Linked DNA regions of Lonchura striata. The protein of the gene in region 1 interacts with the protein of each later gene in a biochemical or structural test. Links are inferred from orthologs where the notes say so. Each region holds a gene or a part of one and is shown on either strand. Other genes may lie near its edges.

Region 1 (12,409 bases):
AATAATCACCTGCATGAATGCCTTTAAATCTTTGTCACCCACACTGCCAGTGGGGAACCAACAACCCACACATGCATTTCCAGTTCCCAGAAGTGGAAGTAAGCCATTGTGGGCAGCGGGTTTAGTTACATTTAGTTTCCATTACACACCAACAAGCTAGAATTCTGCGTGGTATTGGATGCTGGTTCCCAGGTCAGGGGACAACAAATAGAAGCTGAGACAACACCAAGCTGCTTACATCTTAATCACACACCTTAAGCAGAAGTAAAAGGTAGGGAAAATAATTGCATTGCTTTAAAGGCAGCACAACAAAGCAAAATATACACTGTTTTCTGCCAAAAGACTTATCAGCAAAATATATATAGATAGATGAGGATATGCAACAGTGCTAGCTGTATATGCTCATTTATAAACCCTATTTCCATTCAGCCCACAGAAAGCAAAGATTTTTCAGTACATCTCATAAGTAACATACTACTCCATAAAGAATAAAGGCAGGTTTTTTTATTTCCTGACATTTTCCAAGTTGTATTTTTGTTTTCCGGATGCTTAAATTTCATTCAAAATAACTCCCAAAGTAGTGTTTAAAACGCGTATTTAGCAAGCACTGAGCTTTTCAGGCTGAGTCATAATCATTTAACACTCAAAGCAGACAGTAATGGCTATATTTGTTTCCCCAAAGAAAAAACTAAAAAACAAAATAAGAGGGGAAAACCAAAAGTGCAAAAGTGGAAAAACATGTAATTTATACACACCTAAAGAACATTAATTTCTATGATCTTTAAATCATGTAGATCCTTCATTAACTTCAATACCTGCATCTTACAGCATAGTTCAAAAACATATAAACTAGGAGATATATGACACAGTACTCAAAGAGTCACAAGTGTCTTTCTAAACCTATATACAACATTCAATCATTACAGTTTTCTCCAGAGTACCTGCAAAGTTAGTATGGAAGACTGGGAAAAGGAAAAGAAGAGAGGCTTCCTCAATCATGAAGTAAATAACCAAATTTGGCTGCTACTTAGGTCTTTGTCTTAACATGCACATCTCTTATTACTACCATTGATTTCAGACCAAAGAGAAATGGGGAGAAAAGCTAATAAAAATACCCCACTTAGTTGAAATGCTACATTTACTCCCTCATAGCTTGATTCCACTTGCACAGGAATCTGTTCCCAGATCCTGATCCAAATCCAAGGAAGTCGGGGATTGCTTAGTTTCACAGCTTGGTCTTTTGGATCACCCTACAGTGGGGTCTGGATTGACACTGGGGTGAGGGAATGTTTTGTTTCCCCAGAAGACACTTGGGAAGTACTAACCATCTTTGTCTGCAGACAGAAAACAAGTACGAGTAACAAAGCTCAGAACTTGTAAAAAGTTTGGGTGTCCAAAGGCCCATGTCTGTGTTTGAAGTATGACTTGAAGCCACAAATGGCACCATCCGTGGGGGCGATTCACGCGAATCACAGGAACTGCTGCCTACCTTGGTGAAATGAAATAACTTCCCTTCCTCCTACACCCTCAAAAGTCTGGAGGCAATTTTTATACTTCAAGAACACAATAAGATCAATTTGTTTCCCAGATACTTTTGTCAGTGTAACTTCGTATCACAGTTTCTCCAGTGGCAAAACTCATTTAGAAGGTTTCCACGCTCCAAACCTTTCATCCCCTCCCGCTCAAGTACCCCAGTGTTTCACTACGGCAGCCTGAAGACAAAGCTCAGAAAAGGAGCCACATCACCACAGCTCCCCAATTAAGCATAGGGGAATGAAAAAATACTCTTAGAGCAATTCTGCAGAAAATATCCACTGCTGAGCTACACAGATCCTCACAGAGTTTGCCATAACTCCCATCTTGCCACATAAATATCCCACATGAGGCTGAGGAATCAGGAAAATAAGAACATCCTGACAGAGTAAAATAGTCACGAATGAGAAAACTCATTCAGTCCACCATAGTCTGTCACCAGTGCGGAAGAAAACAGCACTATGCTAAAAGAGCAGAACAAGCAATAAAGACCATCAATCCACATATCTTAAAACCATCAGGTGTTACACAGGAAGATACACACTGCCTGAATCAGGTGCTAACACATGATCCCAACACTCACAATAAATTAACCAAATTGCACTGCACAAGTAGCTATGATACTGCCAGAGCACAGAAAATACCTAATCTGGTTAAGTGTGAGGAAAAAGCTACTCTTAAGATTGTTGGGTTGATTTGTTTGGGTTTTTTATCAGCACAGAGACATCTGAGCAGGTTCTGTGTTTTGCATGGAGTTGTCACAGGTTTTGTTCTAGTTCAACTTGTTTATCCAACTTCTTATATTTATCATCTACAGCTTCAATGAAATATATAATCACAGCATCACACAAAACTTTGCAAACTGTACAAAAACAAGGTTAACTTCAGCACTATCTACTGTTTCCTATTTCTCAGTATCTTTTTTCTTCAAAACTTTCGCTATTCCAAGAAAGAAAGGTACCTGCTTCAAATCAGCATGGAACATAAGTGCTTAAAGATATTTAAAAGTCTCTAGCTTGACGCTGTCTCACAGCCAACATTAACACTGCTGCCAGTAAGTGATGCCCAAGCATTCCCTGAAGCTCATGCATACCTACCTTTAGACTATTTACACATTTGAAGGAATATTTGCACTTCTTCGACTTCCATTTTCCTTTCCCCCAGCTTTTTCTTCCTGGTGCATTAGGAGTGTTTGTTGGCGTATCAGGGCGTTCAGTGTTAGTACCACTTTCAATACTAACAGCATCATCCTGAAAACATCCAAAATTATATAGACTGTCACAAAGAGATCATAATTGCTGCATAAATTCAACTAATCTTGCAGCACTTGGCCTTTTCACTTCTTGTCATTCATACAAACAGATCTCTCAGGCCTTGGTGTTATTTAGATTCATGTATTTAAATCTAATGCCAGCATAATAGCATTCCTCTCTAGAAACAGAACATGAATCACATGAGGACTAATCCAAGAGGGAGAGCTATGAACTGTGATCTAGTGACGTTTCTTCAGAATACTGGTAGCTGCTCTTAAGAAAATGTCTAGAGATAAAGCAGCTGCTTCCCCTAGAAAACATCTTTGATCCAGATGAAATGAGTACTTCTGAAGAACTGAAGAATAGTTGTTTTTTAAAAAACATGAGGCTTGACCTTACCAAGAACCGAGCCATTCTGAGGCTTCTGTGCACTCTCAGCAGCACCACTCACAGCACGGTTCTGCAGCGGGGCAGCATCAACATCAGAAGACAAAGTTCCTCCTCTCCCCCCTGTACCACAGATACTCACTTGTTTCCACTAAAAGCTAAATTCTGATCAGCTAACTAATCCAATTTGCCCTCCAACCATTAGTGTAAGATAAGAATGGTGAAAACTGAAAAAACACAAATACACAAAACACCCCATCTAGCTGCTGAGAGATTTTAAATTGGCTTTGGATAATCAGCAGAAACTACAATTTCCTGTGTGGTCTGACTGCAGGGCACTGTTTAAAAGGACATTTCCCTGTATCACCCGTCACAGAGCACAGTACCTTCATCTGCATTGTACCTGCCAACCCTGTGTTTCCAAATGAGTACGTTCAGCTTGTTAAAAATCAACTTTTCCCATTTTTTCTGGCAAGATAGTTCACTTTCCATCAGACTAGTGGGGGGAAAACATCTCATGCTAGACTAAGTAATTTCTAGAGCTGAACTAAGGGAGACAGAGGCAGAGAACAGCCTGTCACTGTAGGAGATTCACAAAGCTGCGCTAGGAACTCCACTAGGAATATGGAATGAGGTCAACTATAAACATTAATACACCAATTCCCACCAAGCATTCATTCTCTGTCCCAGTTTCATGTCTGTATTATCAGGAGCCTGAAGAGGTGTACTAGCCTTTGTTTGTCCAACAACTCTGAAAAACAGGACATTCAGAGGACAAAAGGAGGAAAGATACCACAAAAGCCCGTAAGTGTACTGCCCAAATCTGGAGTAATTCCCTTCACATTGGACCCCTAAAAGAGCCAACCCTCCACTAATATTCATAACCAAATTTAACATTTTTTAAGTTTTCCTGTTTCTTCTCCTTTACCCTAAAAAAAAAATCAGAGCTTGTCCAACTCTCATCTCCCAAGTGCACATGTCAGAATTTTAATACTTGACAAGACTGAAGTTTTCTCTGGACTAGACAGATACCGCCAACGTGAGAACACCAGGCAGCTGGTGTGGTGCAGCTATACCATGTATCTGCAACTACCACATAACCAACAAACCTGCATGCGGGACACCTGTGGAGCAAAACACACCCTTTCTCCAAATCAACACAACTATGTCAACTTTTAAACCGAATCCCCCATCTTGCAGGAGTTGTGGAGTCCAGTAACAAACTCTTGGAAAAAGAATCCCTTCACCACTGAGGCAACCCACATAAGAGAATCAGAGAATCATATAATCAGAGTGATTTCTATTGGAAGGGACCTTAAAGATCATCTAGTCCAGCCCACTGCCACAGGCAGGGACACCTTTCACTAGACCAAGCTGTGCAGAGCCACATCCAGCCTGGCCTTAAACACCTCCAGAGATGGGGCAACCTATTCCACACTCCATGATAGCCTACAACTGACAACAAATTAAGCCTGAACATATGTCACCAAATTACATTTGGATCCACAAATGCTGCTAAGCTATGAAAAAAAAAAAAAAACAAGAGCAGCGGTGTGGAACATCTCAAACTTGCCTGTCACCTCACAAGCACCACTTCCAAACGTTGTGGAGGATGTAGTCCAGTTCCCTCACTAGCTGGATAAGTGCAGAAAAGAAACTTCTACACATTATAAAACACACAGAGTAACTACACAACCCCTCTCCACACCAGTAACTACATAAAGTGACTGGTCGATACCTTAGATTAAGTTTACCTTTCAGGTATAAAGTTATTCTACATCAATCACATTACCTTTGCTCTGAACACTAGAATTTCACCTAACTTAGAGATTATAGACGCCATCCCCGCTGCCTTCTGCTGACAGTAGTTTGAGCACCATCTCCTACTTTTCATTCACCAAAAGGCTGCACACATAAACTCGTGCTGCATGTTACTCTACAACGTGACAGTGAAGACACACGATACAAAACTACAAGAAAGATGGAAAATGCTGCTGGTTTGCAGGGAAAATTTTAAAAAAGAGTGTGACGTTTGGAAGCAGAGTTCGAGACAGCGCCCGCTCACAGCTTGGGCCGCAAATCCACTTTCACCCACGTGGAAGCACAGCGGGCGCCTCTCCCCCAGACCCTGCCCGGTCTCTCCCACCGGGGCCTCCCTCCGGCGGCCACCGAGCCGGGACGGCTGGGCCGAGACCCCTTCTCCCTCTCCTCCCTCACGCCCTCCCCGGCCCGGGAGCCACCCGGGGGGTCCCGGAGGGCGATGTCCCCTCACGGCGGCCCGGGGCGGCCCCTCCTCCTCCTGCGCGCTCCCGCCCGCCCCCGCCGCGAGGCCCCGCGCCGCCGCGCGCGCTCCCGCCGCGCCGCCGCGCCCGCGCCGCCTGCCGCTCGCCCGGCCTCACGTTCTCGTCGCCGGACATGTCCCCGGGGTTACTGTTCTCGTCGCTGCTCAGCTTCTGCTTCTTCGCCGGCATCTCTCCCGCCGGTGCCGCCGCCGGGGCTTCTCCCCGCTCAGACATCTTCCCCGCCCCCCACCCACCGCCACGCAGCCGCAAAGCGCGGACGCGGAGGTTCGAACGGCTGTGCCGTAAAGCGGCCGCGCTGCCCGGGCTGGAGCCCCCGGGCCGGCGGAGCGGCGCCTTTCCCGCCGCCGGGAAAGCGCCCCGCCGCCGGGAAAGCGCCTTTCCCGCCGCCGGGAAACCGCCCGCCGCCGGGAAAGCGCCTTTCCCGCCGCCGGGAAAGCGCCTTTGCCGCCGCTGGGAAAGCGCCCGCCGCCGCCTGCGGGGCTCAGCGGGCCGCAGGGACCCCGCTCGTCTTGGGGGCTGAGCCGAATGAGCCCGCGTGGTCGCGGCGTGGTGGCGCTTGGCCGGCGCTGCCTGTAGCCCGAGCACGCGTGTGGCGGAGAAACAAACAGCCCCGTGCGCCGCGGGTGATACCCACCGCTCTGCCTCTCTCACCAACTTCCCTTGTGCCCAAAGGGTCTCTTGGGTCGGGCTTTTTGGTTTGGTGTGGTTTTGTTGTTGTTGTTGTTTTGTTGGTTTTTTCTGGTTTGTTTTGTTTTGGTGTTCTCTTAACCCACAAAAGTCGTTCAGCCTGCGAATAGTGTTTCCGGATAAGAGAGAAAGGCTCTTCTCTGCTTCCTACTTCTGTACTCCCCGGCAAGCTCCTTCTGCAGCTATAAATTAAATAACTGCACTTGCAGGTTTTTGTTTGTTAATTTATTTATTCGCAAACCACAGGTCCCAGAGCATAATAATTATGAAGAAAAAACAAAATCCACACAACTTCTAACAAAGGGGGAAAGTAATCTGCCCACAGGCACATCATCTTATCTGCTATACTTGTAGAGGCAGAAACAAGTCTTTTCTCCCTGAGGGAAACATTCCAGTCTCAAAAAAAGCTTTGAGGGCAGTGACAGAAGTGAGCCGTGCCTTGTATATAAAATTTAATCTCGCAGGAACTTCAGAGATAAAGAGGAAGAGATATACTTCAAATGCTGTGTGTACTATAGTGTTTTTAGCAATAAACAGTTCTGCAGGACTGTAGGCTCCAATGAGGCATTGCACAACATATAGCAAAAGGTGGTAAGTTTACAGGTAAAAACCCTGTGTAGGTCTGTGCTGTAAGATTGAGGTTTTGTTAGAAGTGTTTGTGGGAAAATATACAGGCTTGTTTCTAGAGTACAACAGGATTCTTTTAGACTGGTGTCTTGTAATTAAGACTAAATCACGACTGTGCTGCAAATTTTTTGAAAGAAGGGGAGGCACAAAGTTTTCAGCAGAGAGAATTTTTAACTTCTCCCTGTAGCCCTTGAACTACTGGGGAGAAGAGTGCTCCCCTTTGTCCTGCAGCTGTTAGCTGACATCTCCAGACGTGCCAGCTGAGCTGCACGTTCAAGTCCACCACATTTCACCAGCTCATGAGGAAAGTGGAAGCCTCAGCTAGCCTGTGCTTCATGGCCATTATGCAGTGTGGTTCCCCACCCACTCCCAGAATCAATCAGTTCATCTCCCTTATATAAACAGCTTTGTCCTGGCAGGTCTGTGCCTTCTCCTATCTTCTAGGTGCTGGGGAACTTCCTCCTCGAGGTGATAGCTCTGCTTCCCTCTGTAGACACTTTTTAGTCTAAACCACTTGCTTTTCTTGCACTTTCTCGAAAGACATGAAAGACTGGTGTACCAGGAGAACCCAGTTTCCAAATGTCATAGTACATTTCATCTAGCTTCTATTTAAAGAATTAGTTGTGTGGTTAAACACAAGCTTGAAAGTTCAGGGAATTTGTTTCAATTTGTGCTCTGCTGAGATTGTTTTTGGATAGCCTCCATGCTTTTCTCTGCCTCAGTTTCTCAACAGTGCTATGGGAGAAGCACTTCTTGTATCCCAGAAGGGTACTAGGAAAAAATATATTATAGTTCATTATTTGTTTAATTAGTATAATACCATATAATACATAAATACCATACACATATTAACTAAGAAGTAATAGGGCCCTTGATATAATATGTAGAGGAAAACAGGAGAACAATATATATTTTTTTTTTAATTTGCAGTCAGTTTTAAGTAGTGATTTAATGGTACTTAAAAACAGATGGTGGGTACTTGGAAGGCTGGATTTAATATAAATTGAAAGACTCTGCCAAATATGGGTTCTCACAGGATTGCAATAACAAATGTCAAAAAAAACTCTGCAATGCATCGAAGACATGGGGTCTTAATAGATAGTCTGATTTTGGATTGTTGTTTTTTTAATACATACCACAATATTTCTGGATCATTCAGGGACATTGAAATACTTTTATATATATATGGGTTGAAAGTAAATCAGTCTCACACTTTTCATTCATTCTCTACCAGATAAGCTTCTTCACAGAATCATGGGATCCTGGAGGTTAGAAGGAACCTCCAAAGCTCATCATCTCTAACCCCTGCTGGTTAAAGCCAGTTCCTCAAGGCCTAACTGAGTCCAGTTATGAATTCCTTCAACACAAGATATTTTGCAACCACTGTGGTCTTCTGTGTTCAGTGTTTAATTACCCTCATGGTAATCATTTTTTAAAGTTGTAATTAATCAGAAATTCACATGCTTCAATTTGTGTCCTTTGCATTTTCCATGTCCTTTGTGACTGTGTCTGCCCCTGCTCCATGGAGCAGCAGATCCATATGTTCCTCAGCCTTCCTTTTGCTGCTACTGTACCTATAGGGGCCTTTCCTGACAACTTTTGCCTCTCTGGTTTCATCTCCCAGATGAGCTTTGGCTTTCCTAACACCAGCCCTACACACTGAAGCAATGTCTCTGTATTCTTCTTGGGCAGTCCATCTGTGCTTCCACTTTTCATACACTTCCTTGTCGTGTTGGAGTTCAGCTGGGAATTCCTAATATATCCCCACTGGTCTCCTGCCTCACTTGCTTGGTTTTCTGCATATTGGAATGGACTGCTCTTTAATTTCTTAGAGGAGCTTCTCCTTGAAGATCAACCACCTGCCCTGAGCCCCATAGCAATTGGATCCTGCCAAAAAGATTCCCAAGTAGGCCAAAATCTACTTTCCTGAAGTCCAGGGTTGTGATTCTAATATTTGCACTGCTAATGTCTCTCAAGATTTTCGGCTCTACAATCTTGTATTTGCTGCAGCCTCATCTTTGACCAGCTCACTTTTGTTTGTGGCAGGTCTAGCAAGACATCTCCCCTGGTGTCTTTCTTCCTTGATATGCTTCAGGTAGTCCACATACCTTCTGCCTTCTTCTAGTGGTGATTTTGACAATCAGCTGTTCCTGGTGGCTGAGAACTTTTGTCTCCAAGAGTAGGCAGTAGACGATATGTAAGAAAGAGTCATAGAATTAGCTCAGGGTTTCTAACTGTGTGGGTAGCCCTTAATTTTGCCAACTTAAAGATGAAGGGGCTGTGCTGTGCTGGGAATGGAGGATATACGAAATAATGAGCTAGTGGGCAGACATCAAAGAGTAGAGTCCTTGATAACAAGCTTCTTGTTCCCACTGACACAGGGAGCATGGAGTGGTATTTTGCCCAGGCAATACCTGTTTTCTTCCAGCCTCTCCTGTTACTCAGTGAAGCATCTAAGTCTGGCTCTTTAGAGCTCCTTCATTAACAAAGGGGGCCTGGCCTTTGTGCTGCCCCAGTACTATGCTGCCTTAGGTAGCATAGTATTTTACCTCTGTGCAGAGATAGCCCCACAGCTAAATTACCTGATACCAGGATCTGTTCTATAAAAAGTGTTTCTTAGTATTGTTACTAATTGGTTTTTCTGTGTCTACAGATGAAAACTACTGAATTAACTGGATAAAAGTAATTTTTAAAATTGTGGGTTTGTCAGGAAAACATAGCCATGGCAACTAAAGTGGATTCTGTTCTGCTCCATGTATTGCCAATAGCCCTGTCAGTCCATCCCCAATTACAGAGGCTGTTTTACTGGTGTTTTTATTAAGAGTCTGAAAACATGGCTGGATTTTCAGAATACCAGTTCAGTTTTTAAGTCTGACTGCTAACGTAGTTTTTGCCTCATGAAAACAGCAACATTAGAAACCAATTGGAAAAGCATCTGCATGAAAAACCATAGCATCCCTTTTGTGTAATGGGACTGCAACAGCCAGAAAAGGCTGCAGTCTTTTCCCCCCTCTCACTTTTGAAAGATTAATGGGTCAAACCTTTGGCTGACTCATACTCTGAAAGCAAGGAACAGCTCACACATTTAAATCTTGCTGCAGGAGTTCAAGATGATATGGATAAAGCTTACATACGTTATCCATCTGCTAGAGCTAAAAACCTGCATTAAAATGGAAGATGGATCTGAATCAGAAGACAAGACAGCTGAGTTGATCTGACAGCTCAGTGGTACTGAAGGAAGGATATCTCACCCACCCCCTTTCCAAACCTTCTTCATGTTCCTAATTCTGGTTTTCCACCACTGCTCTTCCATGGGCTTTGCTTTTCAAAACACTCTCAATGAGCAAGTTCAGCTCACTAACCCAGAAGAAAATTGATCAAGCATGAAGTAACTTGATCCTTTGTCTTTAGCTAATGGGCAAAACCAGACAAATGCAAATTCTCTGATGACCACCAGAAAGGAAGCTGCAGCCAGGAGTGAAAGATGGCAGAGAAACAAGATCTCATCCCAATGGTAGTGGTGAGCTGCAGCTCAGCAATGTCCTGAAATCTGCCTGTGTGCCACTTCAGTTTATGGTTTATCTTCAGTGTTGAAAAGGTTTGACCTAAGGTGTAGGATTCTCTATGCTGCTCTAACAGCTCTGCTGCCATGATGGCAGAGGGGCAACATGCAGTTTTATGTCAGTAAAGTATCATCTTAGTCTGTGCCTTCATGATCAGCAACAGCGTGGCTCAACCAGTCCCATCCCACTCCATCCACCTAATTTCCCCTGCTTCCACCTGCCCTTCTATCCTCTGCCAAGGAGTGATTTACGTAGCTGTGTAAAGAATCACACAAGTCAAGTGAACTGGCAGAAGAAAACAAGGAGCACATCTCTATTTTGTTGTATTAGATCAGTTCCCTTGTTTGTTCACAAAGTAATACACAAACAGCTCTGTTGTCACTGCAGGGAGTGGCGCAAGAACAATTGGTGGGAAGAGAGGGAGGTGGCAGGAAAAAAAGCCAGAATTACTTAAACCAGTATTGTCACCAAATAAATCCTCATGGACCCACAGCTTATGTGAACAGAGCCTTTAGCCTATTTTAAAGTGATCTTTCTTCCAGAATAGTTTCTTCTGCATGTGAAGGAGCTCCCACTGAACCAGACAGCCACATTACAGTACATGAAGCATATTTACAAAGGGACTTTGGAGTCCAGTTTATAGAAGAATTGGGGAGACCTACAGTTCCACACACTGGCTCAGTGATGAAGTACAATAAAGATTCTGTGATGCAACCTCTGCCATCAACAGGAATTCACCTGCTGGTGTGGCCTGAAACAGCAGCAGTTAAAAATGTTCTAAATGCTAAGGGCTGCTGTCCATCCTATTGACCATTCCAGAACTAGTCCACAGAAGTGTGAATAGTAAAGCACTAAATCAGCATAACACCAAAGAATCTGAAAGACCAGGATAAGAAACGAACATTCAGCTAAACTGTATTTCACTTGCCATCTGTACAGAGAGCAGAAGTATGTGAAGTTACCTCCCTAGAATTTTCTCCCCATCTTCCCAAAAACACTACAAGGATGATCCCCACAAAGATTTGCATTCAAATTGGGAAAGATACAACAGGTCAGAAGCATCCATGGAAGCCACATGCTTCCATTACCACTTGGAGCCCCTTTGGCAGGCTTGGATGTCTCCAGGGAATATTGTTACAGAAGCCACCCTACTACACAGCCAGTCTGTAGGGAAAACTGTACAGACTCAGGCCTTGTGCTACACTGTCTGTTCTGTGTCACCAAAGGAGCAGCTAATGCAAAAAATACATGGATAAATTAACACAATTTTCAAAAATGCAGCTTTTGCCTTTGTCTGTAACTTTTGCCTTTTTTCCCATGCCACACCCTAGTTTTTCTATGTAGTTCACCATGGCAATACACTTTCCCTTAAATATTTTTGTATTGAAATAGCCATGCACAAGGCTTAGTCCAAGTGTTTTCCATTGAAATGCACACAGTTATGATGACTGTGTTGACATCATCTTCAGAAGCTACTCACAGTTCTAAAACTTCAGTGCAATGATTCGCTGCAACAAAATGTGATGATTTAGAAATGCCTTAGAGTTATGCATTGTAATTCAGGCTTTCTTTAGCTGCATGCTGCAGGAGTTATTTGCTGGGGAAAATGGTTCAACACCTATGGTTAATCTGTATTTAAATGAATGCTTTATTCTCTCAGTTCATATTTCAGTTTCATTTTCCAGTAGTTGTACTGGAAAAACTCCAGAGTAACTGTGAAACCTCATAACAGGGTGCAGGCAGATTTGCCAGCAGTGCTTAAGAGGGCAACAGTCCACACCAGAAGCTGCTGGAACAGCTCCCGTGTCCTATCACTTCATCACTTTTCTCTTGTGCCTTCTTTTCCCAAGAACTCTGCTCCCCAGGATCTGCCTGTCTCTGTGGTGACAGAGTGGCCAGAACCATTCCCCTGGTCATGCCAGTTCATGTAAACTTGTCTCTCTACAGAGAGGAAAGTCCTGGGTATTAATATATATTCCTTTCCACTTAGAGTATGTTTTCACTCTATTCCAGTACAATGCAGCTGCCATTCTGCTGTCACTTTCTGTCTTGCCTC
Region 2 (12,517 bases), on another chromosome or scaffold:
TACACCTGAGCACTGTCTCCTCCTGTGCTCCCTGCAGATCTCAGTGCTCAGCTTCCACTGAAACACAGGCTCCTTTCATGGATTCCATTCCACTTCTCAGCATTCCCTCTTTCTGCCCCTGAGCACTGGAAAACTTGTTTTCCCCCCTTCCTGTGAAATTGCCAAGTTCTGGTTACTCTGCAACCCAACTTTTTGGTAATTTTCACACACCAGCCTTACTCTGATCCAACAACAGCTACTTCCCCAACTTTTTTTTCCTCTTTCCAAATAGGTCAACCTTTCAACAAATTCATACTACAAGTCTACTTCTTACTCAGTTTAGCCTCTTGCTTTTCCTTTCCAGTGATCTCTTCCAGTGATACTCAATGGTCAGCCTGTCCTAACACATTTTAGCAACTTCCTCCCTGTACCTGTCAGGTCACAGGAGAGCCCCCAAGAGCTCCAGCACAGCTGAATCCTGTCTGATGGTCTTCTTTTGCTATATACCAGCTCTGCTTTATCACTGTCCCCTTCACCTTTAGTTTCACCCTGATCTTATTTTTACTCTGCCTCTACCCTCAACTTTATTTCCAACAGATAAACCAAGCCCAGCAGTATTACAAGGCAGTGCCTTCAGCTATGAATTAAAGTGCTAGAAAAATCTACCTATTCTCTGGCTTCTTTTGGACTGTAAATAATCCTTTCTAGGCAGGACTTCCCCATCTACCTATTCCTGCAAAACACTGAACACAGGAAGGTTGTAAATACTGATTATGGTACCATGAAAACAAATTCACAGAAGTAATTTCTGACAGAAAAGTTCTTTGGAACATTTTAAGCCAATGTCACAGTTCAGGCTGCCCAAGTTAGATACCTGAAAAGCCTTTTAAGGAAAAAAGTAGGAAGATTTTTCAGTATTATATTCAAAACCAATTAGCTCCAGAGTCACCAAAGATCAGAAGTAGTGCCTGGATTTGGAAGTATCAGTCACCCTTCACATGCTCTGCCCCATCAGACCTCTCTCCTCATGGATCAAAGAGTAAAATATGAAAGGAAATCTCTTGCAAAAATCTGCTAGAAGAAAGTTTGTTAGAAAGCTGGCCTTATGCTGTTACAGGAGAGCAGCTTTTCCCTATTTTATGTCCAATGTTAAAAAAGTCCTTTTCCACTAAACTAATTCCACTATGTGCTAAAGTATCCACTAAACTGATTTTCCTGCACTGTTCTGAAGGATGGAGAATTACTTGAGGCCAGCAGATTGTTCTCTCTACAGAACACAAAGAGCCCTTAGCACTGCCCCAAGGCCAACGCTCTCCTACCACACCTTGGCTCCAGCACAAGTGCTTGTGATTGAAAATGAGAAGGAATTTTTTCTGTACCTTCCAGATGGTGCATCACAGTCCCCAGTGCCTCCCCAGGGCTGCACCCTGCAAGTGACCCGAAAATAACACCTGCAAATGCACTGACTGTGTGGTCACTAGCTGAGTGAGTTTGACTGAGACCCAAGGATGCTCTGACTGCCCCCCAAATCCTGAAACTCCTGGGGGGGATGTGAAACCTTCCAGGGAATTAACAGAGCTGATTGGCAAGGAGAGCAGGAGCATTCCCAGCTTGGGATTTCCCACAGCAGCTGCACACATGGATTTGCTGGCCTCACAGAAGGCATCAACTGCTTACAATGATCAGCAGTAAATACTCACAAGGGATACCACTGAATAAAACCAGCTTCCAGCAAAGGTTTTTAAAATATTTAAATACCTACAAGCAACAAAATCTTTCTTCTGTACTAGAAACAGAAAATTGGGTTTCCTTGTTTTCTCCACCTCATGCTCCACAGGCCAGGCTATGTCTCTTTAACAAAGATAAAGCATTTTGGAAAAGAAGGACAAGGCCATGAACACTTTGGAATGTGCCAAGTAAGAGAACTGAAGTTTTTCAAATTAGAATCTCTTCCACAGTGCAGATTCAATGCTGACTGCCAGCAGGGTTATAATATCTATATCCAGCTGAAACTCAGCAGCCTGACTGATGTAAGTCACTACAAGAATTTTGGAATTGTTGCTATAAAGGACATAGACAGGACAGCCATAGTTCTATTGTGTTAGTTTAAAATTCGGTCAATTATTTGGGTTTCAAAACGTGGACTCAGAACCTAAATTTAGGCACTTCCTACCAATCCTGGCCTCTGTGACTCATGTATACACCTTCATGTTCAACTTCAAGGACAGGGTGGAATTTGCAGAATTCTGGAGCTCATTCTCTCCAGAAATCTGTGTGAAAGCATCACCAGGAATAGCCAGTTCTTGGCCAAAGAAGCTAAAGATAAACAATTGCTGCTTTCAAACAAACTATTTCTAATGTATGTCCATTCCAGGACAAACCTGACATCCCCACTACTAATGTGTCAAAGAGAGTAAAGAAAGAGTCACAATTCCAAATACAAGTTACACTAGGACTAAAGGACAGGCAGGCAGTATCCACTAAACATCTGATGGTCACTTCAAAACTATACACCAGATAACCTGTACCTCAGAGAAATCACTTTTACTACATAAAGCCAGCTCAGAAAGCTTGCAAAATTCTTAATCAAACTAAGATGTCTAATTGTTATCTAAAGACATTTTCTGATCTCATGGAATGGCTGAATTTTAATCTACAAGAAGTAGTGGCACCCTCTTTATGCCAGCTGTAAATGCACAGCCCAAATCTTGGCTAACAGGTACAGAGGAGCTACAGTACATGCATAGACATGTTCTGGCATCAGCAAATATTATTCAGGTGGCAACCACTGTTTTTCATCTGCCTTAAGTTTAGCTGCTGGAAACACGAGGAAAGAAATAATAAATATTGTATGATTATGAAGAAGCAACTTTTAACAGCAAAAAGACTAAATCAAAGCCACAAATTGGATGAAAACTAGGAGTTTCAGTGCAGAAGTCTTTTCTGGAAATGGAGTACTCAGATACTATGCAAGTTATGGAAGAAGAGGTAAAATGATAGAGGCAAACCTCAAAAGCATGGACAACAAATTAAAGGCCAGGAAAAAGACTACTCTTTTTGATTATGTACATCTAAGATGTATTTCTTATATGATTGGTGTTCACAGGCCCCAGCCAGCTTTCCTTAGAAGCAGGAAAATAAACATTTAGGTAAAGACTGTGATTTTGATTTTGATAGAGGTTGAGGAGATGGAAGATAATTTATTACAGAAGAATCTGCTTCTGACTGTGAAGACTCTGCAATTCCATACTTTTGGTCACCCAAAGCTCTTGGAATGAAGCCCTACAATGCTTCACAGGAGACTTTTTGGTGCTTGTTTAAGACCAGGCTTCCTGCAGGGTGCCTTTATATCCTCCTAAACCAGAGCTTTCAATAAGACCAGTATTGATCCAAACCTGCTCCTGGAACCACCTCCAGCCTGGAGAATCCTACCTGGGAAAGACCCAGACTGATTCCACATCATATCTGTGCTCTTTGGTTGGCTCTGAAAGGAGCAAATACTTAAAAACCATGAGCTGGAAGCTGCAGCTCAGAAATATCAGCAGAAGGCATCCAGAGCTTTAGCATCAAATATACTCTACTTATTTTGCAGAACAGAAAAGTAAACAGAAATAAATAAATCCAGCTGGTAGGAGAGCTCCCCACTTCCACCAAGGGATGAGGCCATGGTTATCACCAGTCTACATCACCTAACACTTCCCATTTTGGGTTCACTGTTCAGAACACAAGCACTGTGACTGGAAGCTCTCCAGACTGGCTTCCTGCTAGCTCACTTTTTTATTTTTCCTCTTATCAAACAGCTTTTGGGCTTCAAAAGCAACATTAAGGAAAAACACAAAGCTTTCAGTGGTGTTAGCTGCCATGTCTGCATGTGCCAACTGGACAAGACCAAATTGTCTCAGGCACTCCTTTACTTCACAGCTACAAACACACAAATTGCCCAGCTGGGTCCCTAAAACCATTACAATGTGTAAGGATACAACAGAGTCCAAGAGAAAATAAAAAGTTTCCTCACAATGTATCAGGAGAGAGTCCAGACAGGAACTTTGCTGTATCCAAAACTATTTTGGAATATTATTGTAAAAGGAGATTCAGGTTGCAGTAAGTGAATTACAAAAAAAATCTTAAAAATGTGAGAACAGAACAGGACCTGGCACCCAAACATGCCCCCCTGACCACTGGGTTTGGATCATCTCCCAGATTCCACCTCATTTCTCATCCAGCAAAACAGACTGTGCTTCAGAACCAAACCAGGGCAGGAAAAAGGGAAACTCTCTCTGTCAGACCCTGCCCTGCTGCAGGTAAGACACAAAACAGATATCTGAAGAGGCCCTCACAATTACAGGTGTTACAGTTCTCTCCTCCAGATGGGATTTCTTTAGGAATTCTTCTACAATAGCATGCAAGACACTGAGACTGAGTATTTTATAAGCTGTGTTCTCTCAGCTCCTCCATCTACAGCTTTCAAAAGTACAAATAATTCAAATTTACATGGAATATAATGTATATTGTGATCACTGTTGTATAAAAACACTAGGAGGAAAAAAAATGGATGATACTTCAAATTTCAAGTTGAATATCCAGAATAATCTTTGACTTTAACTGGTTTATTGTGTCATCATCTTATGGAACACCATCCTGTCTCATATAGATGATCATTATTGTGTATGTTCAGCACAAATAAGACCCTAAAATACATGAGGAATTCTCTTCCATGAGAAGTTTAATGGCTTTACCAGCTAAAGCAGGTATTTAAAAACCTGGTTTAAATGCCAACACACTCATGCACTGAGCACTGTCAGAAAGCACTGAGAGGTGCAACACAGCTGGGTGAGCAGGGCCAGCCTGGGCTCTGCAGGGCCAGGCAGGGCTGGAGCACACAACTCCAGCTCTCAGGTGGGGTGGGATGGGGTGTTTGTGTGATTTAAAATACCACAGCACCCATCCCAGTGCTGTGACACCCATCCCAGTGCCCTGGTACCCATCCCAGTGCTGTGGTACCCATCCCAGTGCTGTGGTACCCATCCCAGTGCTGTGACACCCATCCCAGTGCTGTGGTACCCATCCCAGTGCTGTGACACCCATCCCAGTGCTGTGGTACCCATCCCAGTGCTGTGACACCCATCCCAGTGCCCTGGTACCCATCCCAGTGCTGTGACACCCATCCCAGTGCTGTGACACCCATCCCAGTGCTGTGGTACCCATCCCAGTGCTGTGACACCCATCCCAGTGCCCTGGTACCCATCCCAGTGCCGTGGTACCCATCCCAGTGCTGTGACACCCATCCCAGTGCTGTGACACCCATCCCAGTGCTGTGACACCCATCCCAGTGCTGTGGTACCCATCCCAGTGCTGTGACACCCATCCCAGTGCTGTGACACCCATCCCAGTGCTGTGACACCATCCCAATGCCCCCGTACCCATCCCAAAGCTCCGTTCCCATCCCAATGCCCCCGTACCCATCCCAGTGCCTCCGTTCCCATCCCAGTGCTGCGGCACCCAAAGAAGGCAGGAGAGCCAAGATTTCTTCAGCAATGACCAAAACATAGAACAAACGAACAAGGGCACCCTGATGCCAAGCTCTGCTCTGGCAGGAGCGTGCGGCAGGACGTTTTCAGAGATCCCTTCCAGCGAGGGCTCTCCCACCCCTGACCCAGCCCAAGGCATGGGCGCGATGTCTCCAGCACTCCACTCAGCCCTGACTGCTGAACTCAAGCTAACAAAAACCCCAGCCTACTTCCAAGCTGACAGATGTACCGGACACATCTCCCGAACAGGATATCTAGTTCCTACCACAACACGGATTCTGCCTGAGCTCTGAGGAAAAAACTCGGCACCCCAGGGAGGGCCCGGACCCCCGCGGCGCTGTCGATGGCGGCACCGAGGGCCGCGCCCTGACCCCGCCGGCCCGGCCAGCACTCTGCGGCACCGGGAGCGCAGCCCCGCGCCCCTCCGCCCCTCGGCGCCGCCGCTCACCAGCTCGGGCACTCGAACAGGGACCCGCCGCCCGCCGGGGCCGCGCTCGCCGCCATCTTGGCTCTGCCCCATTCAGCCGGCGCGGGGCACCATGGGAGGCGCGATCGGCGCGCGGCGATCCCGGCGTGCCCCGCGCGGCGCTGGGCGGGGCCTGGCGGGGCCACGCCCCCGAGGGCTGGCCCCGCCCCCGCCCGGCCGGTACCGACCCGGGACAGGGAACAGAGCCGGTACCGACCCGGGACAGAGCCGGTACCGACCCGGGACCGGGGAACAGAGCCGGTACCGACCTGGGACAGAGCCGGTACCGACCCGGGACAGAGCCGGTACCGACCCGGGACAGGGAACAGAGCCGGTACCGACCCGGGACAGAGCCGGTACCGACCCGGGACAGGGAACAGAGCCGGTACCGACCCGGGACAGGGGAACAGAGCCGGTACCGACCCGGGACAGGGAACAGAGCCGGTACCGACCTGGGACAGAGCCGGTACCGACCCGGGACAGGGAACAGAGCCGGTACCGACCCGGGACAGAGCCGGTACCGACCCGGGACAGGGAACAGAGCCGGTACCGACCCGGGACAGAGCCGGTACCGACCCGGGACAGGGAACAGAGCCGGTACCGACCTGGGACAGAGCCGGTACCGACCCGGGACAGAGCCGGTACCGACCTGGGACAGAGCCGGTACCGACCCGGGACCGGGGGACAGAGCCGGTACCGACCCGGGACAGAGCCGGTACCGACCCGGGACCGGGGGACAGAGCCGGTACCGACCCGGGACAGAGCCGGTACCGACCCGGGACAGGGAACAGAGCCGGTACCGACCTGGGACAGGGGGACAGAGCCTGTGCCGACCTGGGACAGAGCCGGTACCGACCCGGGACAGAGCCTGTACCGACCCGGGACAGAGCCGGTACCGACCCGGGACAGGGGGACAGAGCCGGTACCGACCCGGGACAGGGGAACAGAGCCGGTACCGACCCGGGACAGAGCCGGTACCGACCCGGGACAGGGCCGGTACCGACCCGGGACAGAGCCGGTACCGACCCGGGACAGGGGGACAGAGCCGGTACCGACCCGGGACAAGGGAACAGAGCCGGTGCCGACCCGGGACAAGGGAACAGAGCCGGTACCGACCCGGGACAGGGGAACAGAGCCGGTACCGACCCGGGACAGAGCCGGTACCGACCCGGGACAGGGGAACAGAGCCGGTACCGACCCGGGACAGAGCCGGTACCGACCCGGGACAGGGGAACAGAGCCGGTACCGACCCCGGGACAGGGGAACAGAGCCGGTACCGACCCGGGACAGAGCCGGTACCGACCCGGGACAGGGAACAGAGCCGGTACCGACCCGGGACAGAGCCGGTACCGACCCGGGACAGGGAACAGAGCCGGTACCGACCCGGGACAGGGGGACAGAGCCGGTGCCGACCCGGGACAGAGCCGGTACCGACCCGGGACAGAGCCGGTACCGACCCGGGACAGGGGAACAGAGCCAGTACCGACCCGGGACAGGGGAACAGAGCCAGTACCGACCCCGGGACGGGGGGACAGCCCCGGTACCGACGCTGGAACGCGGGGACAGTGCCGGTACCGAGTACCGCGGGGACAGCGCCTCTGTCCGAGCAGAACCCGGGGCACGGCCCGTACGAGCACACCGGCCTTTCTGCCTCTGTCCCGGCCGGCCCCGGCCCGCAGCCGCCCCGGGCGGGCACAGCCGCGCTCGCTGCCCGGCTCTCACGGCCGGCCGGGATCCCCGAACGCCTCGAATGGGGTCGAACGCACATCTGAGAGCCAGACTCTGCAGTAACAAGCACGGGATGTTCCAGTTCTCCAGACGGATTTTCAGGCTCGGGAACGTGAGACGAGAGCGTTAAAATCACCGGTTCTAGCGCCGCGAACCGCTGAGAGGTGCGGCACAGCCGGCTCCCTCCTCTGTGTAGGGGAGAAAGGAGTCAAGCAGCTACAAAAACCCTGAGCTCAGCACCCTGCACCCTCAATTCCAATTTCCAGGGGACTAAAACAGGCTAGGAGAAGGATGGAGCACACAAATAATGCTCCTGTTTAGGTGTGGTGACCTAACAAACAAACTAAAGCTAAGTGCTTTTGTTCTTCTATGGCAGTGTGACACCCAAAGGACTCTGTCTGGCAGCAGGCATGCACAAATCAATAGGTTTCAAATCAATAGCTCCTACCATTTCCAAGGAAAACTTTAAAAAAGGAGCAGAACAACACAAAGGTCACATGCTTTCAAGTCAGATTTTATCATACAGGCTTGCAAATGGCTTCAAGTTCTAGCAAAAGGCAAATAGAGCTGACCCAATGCTGCTCTGAGGTATGAGATTCATTTTTCTGGGATCACCTATTGTACAGGACGCTGCACAGAAGTCTTGTGTATGTCCTTGGAAATTAATTTCATTATTTCAGGGAGTTTCATTCTGAAAAATCAGGGACCACAGAATTAAAGCTGCAGGAAACACTACTGTGCTGATGTAACGTCCTCTACTCTGCAAACACACCTGTGCCAATGTGTAAATTGCAAGAGAAATGAGCTCTGACAGAGGCTTTTAAAAGTGTTTATTGATAATTATTGGATGGAATGACGGCGCAATAGTGCAAACCACTGTGCAATTGGGAGAACACTCTTCCCAGCTTTCATGTTTACTTTATTATAGACGAGACATGGAATAAGGATTAAATACAAAATGGGTCAGTATACTGCATTTACCACCCCCACCGGGTTTTGGACAGATTACTGTTCCCAGTGCATGTCAGTTCAGAGCTACATTGAAGTGGGGAGTGGCTGCTGGTTCTGCCCAACCCTATGAGCTGGAACCAGCAACCCTTTTCATTTGCACACACCTCCCCAGTCTGGAAAACCTAGCACTTCACTCAGCCAGTTTCTGCACTTTCTATTTCATAAAGATTTGAAAATACCAAATGTTCACAAGCCACACATAACATTTACTAGGACACTACAAGTGAACTTCAAGAGCACTTCTTCAGAATCAAGATTTCTGCTAACACTCTTCACTAATGTTGCTAGCTTGTAAACTTAGGTGCCCACTTCCTCATTTTTAAGTGTTTTTTCCCCTGGAAGCTTCTAAAAACAGTTGGGAGTGAGCAGCTAAACTTTTTATATTTAGTGCTTGAGTCAGCATTGGAAGAGATTTATTTGTCCACTAGCAAGCAACCAGCTAGTTTGTCTAAGGAGATTGCACTGTTATTCTAAGTCAAAGAACATTCTGTCCTCAAGTGCATTTTGTGAAATAAAAAACAACCCCAACCACACCCAAAAAATTAAACACAGTTATGAGTCTCAAGGCTAAACTGACCAGCATGTTCAAATCATCATCCACACATACCCTCCTTGCCTCTCAAATCTGTGACAACATCCTTTTCTTCAAGAGAATCTAGAACCACAGCCACTTGGAGACAATAAAACCATGGGGCAGATACTGGAGACTTTAGAAACTGCTGGATTTACATAATGTGACTTGGTGGTGGGCTGTCTTTGAATGGCATTTGCATTCCAGTCCAACAAAGTTACCTACGTGTACAAAATGTTGAAGTTGTGCGACTTGTCAAAAACAAGACCTCTCCAATTATTGATCACATTTCAGCATACAGCTGGGACAGGGAAGAACACATTACAGAAAGCAAAACCACAAGATTTTAGTTACATAAAACAATATAATTTGTATATAAACTGATAAATACTGTCTCCATGGTTTACTAATTCCAAATACTAGTTACCTGCACGTTAGTTGCTAATATCTATTATTAGAAGTAGTTCCAACTTTTGCTCTCTCAGGGTGGTCAATTCAGCTCCAAGACCAGTCAGCCTGTTTGCTCTGACAGAAAAAATCTCAGCTGTGAGACTGGTTTCCATGGGAAGATTTCAGTTCAACTTCCAGATAAGGAGTCCTATGATTATACAGGCCACAGCAAGGCCAAGAATCAGGATACAGATCTTCTTACGGGATTTCTTCTAATAAGAGAAGAAAAAAGAAGCCACTGACACCAGGAACACTTGAGGAAAAAGCAAGGCTACCATTCATGTTACTAACTTGGGTGAACAAGAGCCCTTGGTACCCCCACAGTTAGAGAGAAGTAACCAGTGTAGTCTGAACATTTTTACATGTTCCTTAAACTCCATGATTCTACAGATGAATGTTTTTAATTTTAGGAGTGCAGTGGTCTAAGAGATGCAGTTAAGTCAAAATTTGACAGGTTTTGCTTCTCTTAATGAAAATACAAGCCTCAGAGAAGGCCAAACCTTTCTAGCTATTTACATTTTTTCCTAATCAAACTCCTAAGCAGTTCTCACATACAATCTCCCCTTGGCCACTTGGGCTTGGTGTTGCATTTCTACAATTTAAATTATTTCATGTACAGTTACTGAACTTGGATTTTACAGCTTTGCTCACTTTATTCATCACAGGAAACTACAGGCCTTCCATATACACCAAATATTTTTAACTTGGCATCTAAGGATTTGATATATAACCACTTCTTTCTCCATCCAGGAAAAAACCCCATGCAAAACATATCCAACAGCTCTGAAACTTAGATTTATAAATACCTCAGAACTTTGGCAAGGAAGCCATGGAGAGAGAGACTGCTACTACATGCTGCCAGATGGTAAAAGCAACATTCCCACCCTTGCACTCAACAGCACTGGAGTTTTATTGCCCTCCAGTACCTCCCACTTAACAGCTTGGAAGAGTCCAGTATTTTCTTGTGTAAGTCCCAGCAGTAATGGACTGACTAAAGCAGAACCCTTACCCCTTCACAGAAGCTGGAGCTAGAGGGACAAGGATGGTGACAGGAACCTACAGGAAACACTGGATCCCATACAGCAGTGAGAGCCACTGCAAGAGATTTGATGGAGCACAAACTATGGGATAGAAGCTCAGCAGCTGGATAGGAGTGCTGCAAATCCTGGTCACCAGAGTGACCAGACCTGAGTCTGGGCACAGATTTTTGCATGTCAGTGTCTTGGCTGATATCTTCAAAAGTTGCATATGATATCAGAATTTGTTCTTGTTTCTTCTGCTAACTCCTAACAACAACAAAGACAGGTAAACACTTAGGCTTGCAGAGTGTGAAGGGCCAGACCCTATTTCTACTCTTTTAGTCTAAAGTAGAAGGTGAATTTCAATACCATGTTTTTGACTCAAGTGCTTTATATACTCCTTGCAGGCAATTTTGAATGAATGCCAACTTGCATGAGCTGGTTTTAATAAGCAGTCTGGTGTGCTGCAGTCCTCAGTGTCTTGCTCTGCCTGTTTCATTAGTGCTCAACCATACACTGACAATCAAGCAAGCACACAAAATTTACCTGATAATAGGCAGCTCTCTGTAACTGCTCACTGGCTCTTTCCACATGGACTTCTGCACTTTCCACATTTGCCTCTATGCTATCTATGGAAAGAACAGGAGAACTCATTGCAAAATATTTCAGAGCTTCAGTGTTTAAAAATTATAACTAAAAATATAATACTTTTAATGCAAAGTACTGAAAATTTTAATCCATGACTTGCAAAACAAGTAACTCTACCAAGAAAAAACTTATTACCCAAATACACTTACCAATCATATCTCCTTGGTCATGAATCATCATGGCTAAATCCTTGAATATCTGATTGACATCCAAAATGTCTGCCTGAAGACAACAGTTTAAGAAGTTACAATGAACACTGGGTACAATATTTTCTAATCCTCACTCTTAGTACCTCTTCCATCACTCAAAGGGTCAGAATAGGCACCACCATTCACTGAGGTGACTTGCTGTTACCACCTGTGCAACTTGGGATTAGCATGGGAGCCTACAATGCTCCAGCTACTGAATATTTGTTTCATCACACCAGCAATTAGCACAGTATGAACACTGTAACATGGGTTGCTCCTGCCATATCTGAAGGATCACCAGCCAACACTGAGGGAAAATATGCCTCCTTCACCAGGAGCAGGGAGATCATCTTGGCATCAATCCTCTCTAAGAGGAACTCTATTCCTCCACCATCAGCTCTCCTCAGCCCATCCCATTAATTAACACTGCATCCTTTGATTTATCTCCCGGTGCTGTTAACTGTGCAGGATTGACTGGTCACCTCTAATTGCCTGATTGCAGTTTCTCTTTCTTTAATGAGCTCAAGGTCCTGTTCAGTTATTGCCACATCTTCTTCCTGAGACTGCATCTGATTCCAATCTTCACCACTGGAAAGAGAAGGAAAGTCAGTATCTGTATCTCTCTGAGCATAGGTACTTCCATGCTGCATTTTATGGCAAAATGAGTTAAAGTTGAAGACTTCCCTACAGAACAACCCACAGGTTGTTGGCCTGTCACTGTGTACAAGGACAAGACCAATTTGTGACAAGAATCACAAACTGAAACAATTGAAAAAAAGGACAGATCAGGCAATGTGAAGACACTGGAAAGCAGTTACATGCATAGCACACCTGTTCTAGAACATAACAGTTATCTACACCATTTTAGAAGAAACTGCCCATTTCAGTTCTGCTTTAAAAAAAAAAAAAATACTTGTACCATCCCTGCT

What was found.
Region 2: the proteins of EED (region 1) and PPP1R8 form a complex in vitro, tested with the Homo sapiens proteins (2 studies listed by BioGRID). The link is inferred for Lonchura striata from reciprocal best matches to the Homo sapiens genes EED and PPP1R8.

Annotation. Positions count from the first base shown.
Region 1 is NC_134604.1:34,842,890-34,855,298, forward strand, and holds the start of EED (polycomb protein EED), read right to left. Parts: upstream 5,710-12,409; 5' UTR 5,690-5,709; coding exon 5,573-5,689; intron 2,784-5,572; coding exon 2,631-2,783; intron 1-2,630. UniProt on the Homo sapiens protein: Polycomb group (PcG) protein. Component of the PRC2/EED-EZH2 complex, which methylates 'Lys-9' and 'Lys-27' of histone H3, leading to transcriptional repression of the affected target gene.
Region 2 is NC_134628.1:5,417,525-5,430,041, forward strand, and holds the start of PPP1R8 (nuclear inhibitor of protein phosphatase 1), read right to left. Parts: upstream 6,075-12,517; 5' UTR 6,012-6,074; coding exon 5,956-6,011; intron 1-5,955. Other genes in the region: STX12 (syntaxin-12), read right to left, coding at 9,856-9,945, 11,299-11,381, 11,550-11,622, 12,071-12,176. UniProt on the Homo sapiens protein: Inhibitor subunit of the major nuclear protein phosphatase-1 (PP-1). It has RNA-binding activity but does not cleave RNA and may target PP-1 to RNA-associated substrates. May also be involved in pre-mRNA splicing.